Nothobranchius furzeri: one gene and its partner. The protein of the gene in region 1 interacts with the protein of each later gene in a biochemical or structural test. Links are inferred from orthologs where the notes say so. Each region holds a gene or a part of one and is shown on either strand. Other genes may lie near its edges.

What was found.
Region 2: of the proteins of dnmt1 (region 1) and setd7, one has a biochemical effect on the other in vitro, tested with the Homo sapiens proteins (2 studies listed by BioGRID and IntAct, with this or other methods). The link is inferred for Nothobranchius furzeri from reciprocal best matches to the Homo sapiens genes DNMT1 and SETD7.

What each region holds. Positions count from the first base shown.
Region 1 is NC_091745.1:3,328,724-3,333,064, forward strand, and holds the start of dnmt1 (DNA (cytosine-5)-methyltransferase 1), read right to left. Parts: upstream 2,866-4,341; 5' UTR 2,688-2,865; coding exon 2,641-2,687; intron 2,272-2,640; coding exon 2,235-2,271; intron 1,781-2,234; coding exon 1,673-1,780; intron 1,578-1,672; coding exon 1,325-1,577; intron 1,234-1,324; coding exon 1,161-1,233; intron 1,085-1,160; coding exon 1,003-1,084; intron 922-1,002; coding exon 881-921; intron 810-880; coding exon 755-809; intron 668-754; coding exon 584-667; intron 512-583; coding exon 402-511; intron 1-401. UniProt on the Homo sapiens protein: Methylates CpG residues. Preferentially methylates hemimethylated DNA. Associates with DNA replication sites in S phase maintaining the methylation pattern in the newly synthesized strand, that is essential for epigenetic inheritance.
Region 2 is NC_091741.1:109,529,665-109,533,314, reverse strand, and holds part of setd7 (histone-lysine N-methyltransferase SETD7), read left to right. Parts: intron 1-2,966; coding exon 2,967-3,096; intron 3,097-3,650. UniProt on the Homo sapiens protein: Histone methyltransferase that specifically monomethylates 'Lys-4' of histone H3. H3 'Lys-4' methylation represents a specific tag for epigenetic transcriptional activation.

The sequences.
Region 1 (4,341 bases):
CATTTAAACTTCAGCCGCCACTGATAGTTGTTAAAAGTTGTTAAACCTGTGCATTTGAAACAAGAAACGCTTTTTGTTTATCGATTTATTGTGAAAAACGGAAAGTGTGCTTGCTCCTTTTCCTGTTGGACGATTGTGATTTCTGTCCATTTACTGCGGAGGTGCTCCGGCGTCCGGCGAAAATAGGATCGATTCTATTTTTGCCGGACGCCAGAACAGAGGGCGGCGCACGGCGCCGCACTGCAGGAGCACAGCCGCAGTAGTGGAATTGCTCTGATTGACTACAACGGGACCGATTTTGCTGCGGCGTTCGTGTCGGAGCGGAGGTAGTGGAATTTGGGGGTAACGGTGGCACCAGAAGCAACAAGAAGAGCCACCTGAATCCCCACAGAGAAGCTCACCTGAAACTTGTGATCTTGTGCTGCGGCAGATCATCGTAGCTTTCAAACCCATCCTCGTTTGCGTCAAACAGGGACAAACGCTCATCCGTCAACATTTCAGGCTCTTCCAGCTGAAGATACAGAAAAAACCGGTCAAGACGACGACTTCTCAGTGCTTAAATTACTAAGAAAGCAAGACTGACCGCATTATCAGGATCTCCTTGGAAGAATTTCAGATCGGAGTCATCCAGGTATTGTCTGCAGTCTGGACATTTGGGGGGCGGAGTCTAAAAAAAAACAACCGGGCTTTGTATCAAAGCCTATTGACGGATCACCTTTGTCTGCGTAAACGTTTGAATGAACCACTTCACTACCTTAGCTGCTGACGCAGACCTGTTAACTTCAGGCTTTGGTTCCTCAGCAGCAGGTCTGCGTAAAAAAGGAAGAGTTGTAAAACGTAGATCCACTTCAGGACCATCGAAACTCAAGAGATGACCTACTTTTCATCCGACTCCACTTTCAGGCGTTTCTCCTCCCGAGACTGCAACAGGCGATCAAATGTAAAACGTTATCTCCGGGACTAAACCTACACCGATATTAGCACACGAGGAGGAAATGTCACCTCATCAACGGCCTCTTCTTTTTTAGGTTCACTTGTTTCATTGACAGGTTCTCCGTTCACCTCATCAGACTTGCGCTTTTGGCTGCAAAACAGAGCTGGTCTTAATTTTATTCCTGCTTATTTGTTAAAACTGCAAACAGCATAAAACTCATACGTACACTTTAGAAAACATGGACAAGATGGTTGGCTGCTTCACACTGTTCCTCGTGACTCTGCTGCTGGCTGGTGATTCTACAAATGCAAAAGGACTCGCCATGAGCTACAGATGCTGCGCCTTTAAAAACGAGACTCGGGATGAACACTAAACGAGTCGCAGACTGACTTTTTGTGTCTGCGCTCCCCTTGCTCCTGCGGCCCCCCTTCCCTTTGGAGGTGGTTGGTGACTTGACAGATGATGACGTGTCTTCTTCCTGGGTATCCATGGAAACATCACCATCTCCATCCTCTTCGTCTTTATGGGAGCCATTAGAGAGGCCATTTCTCTTTTCGTTACGCTCCACGCCATCAACATGTGAGCCATTCTCAAGATGAAGTTCTTTGCCCAGCAAGGCTTTCACCTTTGAGATGTAAACCTCCTGAGGAAAGTACAACAGATACACAACATGTCATAAATGGATTTATTGGAAATAACATGAACATTAATAATCTGTGTCTTTTGGAAGTTACCCACCTTTGAGATCTCTGATTTTTTTATTTTTTCTTCAAGACTGGTCAGTTGGTCCTGAGCATCATCATGCAGAAAGTCCTGCACCAACTTGATCTTCTTCTTCACTTGTTCCTGAAACGAATATTTCCAACATAAAACTTACAGCCAATGTATTTAACTATAAAATTATAAGTTACAATTTTTTGAAACTATCTGCATTCATGACATTAAAAATTAACCATTTAGGACATGTCGGTGAATTAAAATGTGAGACAGTAACTTTCTTAATCTTCTTTGTCAATGGCAAAATTTCCTAGGGATTCGTTTTTGTCATATTTGAAATGAGAATTTTATGCGTGCCAAATGACATTTTGGGGAGTGATGAACATTTTTGGAAGCTCTGCTATTTATATTTGCTATCAAACACATTTCATATCTCACAACTAAAATAAAACCAACGAGAGATGCATTCTTTAAGAGCCACTATATAAAGTGTAGTTATTGATCTTTACACATACAAAGCAACTTTCATTTCCCGTAATTATTGATCGGGTTTTCTAGTAGTGAGGGTGCACACTTCACTCGCCTCTTCTGAGCATCCATCCTCATCCAGCAGCTCCAACCTACAAACACATCAAAACAACAGCGGCTTACGGAGAGTCACGTTGTCTGGAAACTGTAGCAGAACGTTCAGCACAGCAACCAGAGTTAGGAAACAAAACTTCCTACGTGGCGCCAAAAACTCCCTCGCTGCTCATCCATTTCCAGGCTAATGATGCTAGTAGCAGGTTACTGACGATGGACTATTAACCAGACTGATAAGAGGCAGCAAGCTAACGCTAGCTGAAGCGGCTAATGCAAACAAAGTTGTGGGGATGCTCACTACGAGCATGAGAAACAACGAGTAGCATTTAAGACATACGCTCTGAACGCCGTTGTTGTGACTTACTAACTGGCTGCATTATGACTGTATTAGCACCGAGGTTACCAACCTTTTCCTGACATCGTCTGGCAGAGACAGGGACGTTCTGGATGGCATGTTGACCAGCTAACTAAAAGCAGAAGCAGATGACACGGGCAATAAAAACTGATATAAAACAACGCGTTAGGCCGCCGTCAATCGCCGCAGCAATACTCAGAGATGACTACCAGTCGAGTGGCGCTTCTTCAAGCGGATGCTACAAGCAGTTCGAGCGCGCGCAGGCCGTCTTTTCGCGCGGAAACCCGGGTGTTGTGGACTGTACCACTACGGCAGTCTATAGGTAAAGCAGTTTCCGTTCTGCGTTTGTAATTTCTTCTTTGCATTCATGGTTTTACACAAAAACACATTTTATAACAATAAAACGATTTTTAAGCATGTTTAGGGCATTAGTTTGATATTATTCAAAATGTTTACGTTTTTTGGTTCTTGATAAATCAACCGGATCTTCCCCTATTGTTTCACACATGTTAGAGTCCATTGACCAGGCGGAAGTGTTTAATAATGAGCAAAAACAGCAAGACATATTATTGCCGCTGAGTTTAAGCTGCAGGAGGCATGACACCGTTTTGATGTAACTAGCTGTATCCGACATCTGTTTGAAACCAATAAGCCTCTAACTGTAATTTATATATTAGATTGTTACTAGGATAGCTGTCAAACATGTATGTGTCCAGGGCGTGTCATGTGATATCATAGGATGTCAAAGAAGATGGCTCCTTTCTCGCCTCTGATTAGCAAGAAGGGCTCTACTACGATTGGCTATTTCCATCGACATATAAATATTGGACATTGGGTTTCCATATGCTCCAATAACACGTTTTTGAAGATAAATGGGAGGTGGCCACCACCACCATTTTGACTGTGTCACAGGTTCCGTCAAGCCCAGACAATTCCACAAAAGGGAAGAGAGGTGGCGCTGAGGGTGGGGCTGTAAGGCTGGGATCTACTGACGACACCCGGTCTAACTAGCTACAAGTTAACCCAAAGCTAACGCGGAGGTGGGAGCTAAGCTAACAGAGGTAGCAACCTAGCTACAACCGGAGTTAACTGTGCACAACACCAGAGCTTCTGAGTCAGAGATACGCCGGGCTGACCGCTGGGTAAAACCGGGTGGAACACAGAGGTCTCCCGAGAGCTCCACAAGCCGGCAGCCGCACAGCAGACAAGCGCTGCTGCGATCTGAGATGCACAGAGCTGCCACTGGGGAGAACCGGGTGGAAAGGTTTCCATCCCAGAGCTCCACAAGCCGGCAGCCCGCATAGCAGTCAGGAGCCGCGATCAGACAGAGATGCGCCGAGCTGCGGGGAGGGGAGAACCGGGTGGAAAACAGGTCTCCCGAGAGCTCCACAAGCCGATAGTCGGAACCCAGCTCCACCAACATGTTATATTTCAACCCATTTTCTAAAGTCCAGCATTATGTTAAATGCACTGGGGTTTACCCTATTACATTTAAATTTCATGGTTAAACAGTACATGTTAAAATCTAAGCTCAGCTCGGCAGTGACCTAAAATACATGAATATAATTTTACTTACCGAAAAAAATGAAGTGGAGACTCCTTGGATGCTCTATTAGTGCAATTAATGCCACAGCAAGTCATTTTGTCCAACAATTGCACAAAAAATATCCGAAAAAAAATACACAAACACAGAGACTCAAAATCCCGGAGCAGTTTCCAAGCCAGACCGAGGCTCTACTGAGGCCTTTCCACG
Region 2 (3,650 bases), on another chromosome or scaffold:
CCGGCAGAAGGCCCCCGGGTCGACCCAGGACACGTTGGAGAGGTTACATCTCCAATCTGGTCCGGGAACGCCTTGGGGTCCTGCCGGAGGAACTGGTGGACAAGGCCGGGGAGAGGACGGCCTGGAGCTCCCTAGTTGGGATGCTGCCCCCGCGACCCGGACCCGGATAAGCGGAGGAAGACGAGACGAGAGACGATGTTAAATAATAGTTAACATCACTTAAATGCAACAGCAGATTCTCTCATTGCTACTGAACATTTTCTCCACTTATGTGGTTATGATATAAGGCTGTTGCTGTAATTGGGAAGTGAACTGTGCTGGGCCAAACTAGGAGAATATTAAGATTTTCTGAGGGAAAGAGAAAAACAATTGTCTACCATTCAGAAGAGGAACTGGCAAAAAACTACATGGAAAATATGTGAAAACGTTTGTTTTTAACCCCAAATTGAACAAGTTTACCAAGATCTTAAAAAGCAGCTCAGATGATGAAACTGCAGCTATGATTCTGATAACAAGCTAACAAATTGAACTAGCTCCTCTTAAGATAACCGGCTAGCAGAGCTTCTGACTGACAGTTTATGTGCAGCAGCAAATCAACTATCCTGATTAACAAGGTTATAAAAGCTCATAAATGAAAAATCACTTTGATGTGTGGGGGAACTTTTCCAGGCCCTCTTTAGCAGGGTGGGACTGGAAGGAGAGTGCTGTAGCCTTTTAGCTGGAAGCTAACCGGAGCCTGGGGCTAACATCACCACCCGGTGGAACACTAGCAACATTAAGGTGGGTTAGTTCACCGGCACGTGTCGGAGTCAACCCGGTAAAAATGATTAACGACACCGAGCGGACTCACGTTCACGTCTGAAAGCAGCGCTGATTCCAGAAACCTCAGCACAAAGTGTGTTCGTTAATCTGGGCCAGCATGACGAACAAGGGAACGGCGCCGCTAATGTTCGGGTATTGCTTTCCATCCTAAGGGTCCACATAGGGGGCTGGCGTATTTCGTGAACGGACCCATCTGATTGGCCGCATATCAGAAGGGCTACGTTTGATTGGCCAAATAATACTTCCGCATAAAAACAGAGCTGGTTTACAAAAAGTTAATGTATGACACGGATGGAAATGTTTGAACCAAACATTTATCGCCGTTTTTGGCGTGCCTTGCGATGGGCCTATCGCACGTCTTGTTATGCCGATGACGATAATTTTTCGATATATTGTGCAGCCCTACTTTTGACCCTTTGCACGTGACGTCACGCCACTCATGTGACCGCCCCCTTCGCCATGATGGACGGCAAAAAGACCGTTTATACCAGTAGAAACTCCAGTGAAAGTAGTCAAAACAAGCCAGTTTGTAGCCTTTTATATCTTTTATTTAGTTGATTTGACATTAAAACAGTTTTAGCTTGCTGCGTGGTCGGCTGCACTAACAGACAAGGATGTAAACTCAACTCGTTTTGTTTTTTTAATAACTTTGATGGAGACTGAGGACGGAGATGAACTGCAGTGATCAATCAAGCGGACTAGCAGGCCTCAGATTAGCAGCGAACATGTTTTTACCGGGTAAGATTAACGTTCATTTATTTCACAAGGAAGACAGGGACAGGGATAAATGTGATGTGTTTATACTAGTTATTGATAATCCTGATGGACGGGTATTTCACCACGGAGGCTGCGCTCCGTCCACTGTAGTGTAAAGCGAGACAATTATTAACAATATTAAAGCTCTGATGTAAGATCACGTGTGTTAAAATTACGTTATTTATTTATATGAGCGTCAGCATTAAGAGATCTTCTCATTCCGGTGTGAGAGCAGCAGCTGAAGCCGGTAACACCACCAGCAACAGAAGCTGGTAGGGATCCAGACTTTCTAACAATCAGCTTTGGTGTAAAGTGAAACGCTGTTTGTAACATAAAGTTATAAATCCAGAGGGGTGAATTTAGGCAAAGTCAGCAACATGTTTACATCGGTGAACAGCTGCAGAGAGAACGTAAGCTAACGCTGGTAAGTTAGTTAGCATACCGCTCTCTATGAGCCCCCGCTAGATGCGCTACTTCTTCTGATAACTGAACTGGGCATGAACTAGTGGAAGGAATGCTGGAGGAGTTTTGTTTTGGTTTTGATCGCAAAAACAATTTCAGGCTCTACTTTTCCCTTTGTTTAGTAATCGTGTCGCTCACTGTTTACATGCTTTTGCCGTCCACCGTGGTGGACCCACGTGATTAGGTGACGTCGGTGCAAAGGGTCAATAGGTGGTTTTCTGTGTGGCTGTATGTGTTTATGATTTCATGGAAAAGTCAGCGATTGTTCACATGTTTATGATGTATATTAATGATTGTTGTAGGTGTTGTTGGGGTTTTGTGCACGCATGTGTATCTGCTAGTGTTGAAGGTGTTTTAGAGAACAATAGGTACGCATGACCACTTCCTTCATAGCACCCTCAATAAAAAGACTAGCTCCTTCATAGCACCTGCAGAAAAACATTTCTGGAGCCGCCACTGCTCTGTAGCCGCTCTGTCAGCGCACGCATTGGGCTCGGCTCCACCCACACCCCACCCACACCCCTGGTGGCACTCGCTGCTACCGCCATAACACTTTCAAAACTTGGATGTGTAAAATAAATGACACAACAGATTCTGGGTCAGTCAGGAGCACTGCGACAAAACAGCAGCTTGAACGTGATTGCGTTGTATGAAATGATCATTGGAGATTTCAAACTGGTAAAAGTGTGGATGTGTGATGGCCTGGGGCCTATCTGGGTGTAGTCCAGTACCTTGTTTAACATCTTCAATTCAAACCACTGTAATCGTGTGTGTGTGTGTGTGTGTGTGTGTGTGTGTGTGTGTGTGTGTGTGTGTGTGTGTGTGTGTGTGTGTGTGTGTGTGTGTGTGTGTGTGTGTGTGTGTGTGTGTGTGTGTGTGTGTGTGTGTGTGTGTGTGTGTGTGTGTGTGTGTGTGTGTGTGTGTAGGCCCACTAGATGAAGATGGTCAGCCCCATGGTTTCTGCACTGTTACCTTCTCATCCGGTGATCATTTTGAAGGACACTTCACTCATGGAGAGAAGAATGGAAAGGGCAAGTTCTTCTTCTTTGATGGAAGGTAATGTTTAATGACTTTGATTTATAAAGTAGAACTTGACGAGATAATGCAAGCAACCGTAACTCATTTGCTGCCAACCATTTCCTGATCGGTAAAGCCTTTTTTAAGAGTCACAGAACATTGCGTACTAGGATGATGTCGATGACAAAACACCCAAAACAAAGCGTAGACTCACCTCTTACATCAGGAAGAATCCGTTTTGAGCGTTATCCGTTCTTTCATAATCCGTTGTTGAATAGTGATCGGCAGAAGCTTTTCCGGTTTGCGCCTCACTTTTTTTTTTACAGCAGTGGCTCAAAACAATCTCCTAACACATGGATTTTCTGCTTCCTGATCATGTGACATGTGATGTACGCAGACGAAGATCTGCTTTAGAGCTGGGATGTTTGTTCTCACGGTGCGGGGCCTCGTTCCAACGCCCACACAGTAAAAAAATGCAAATGACGACTTTTGTTGTCAATGGCAGTGAATGAGTTAAACAAACCCCGGCGTTAGCACCTTTTGGAGACAGAGAAACTGGCGCAGCCAGTCAGATGGTAAAGTGGTGATTATCT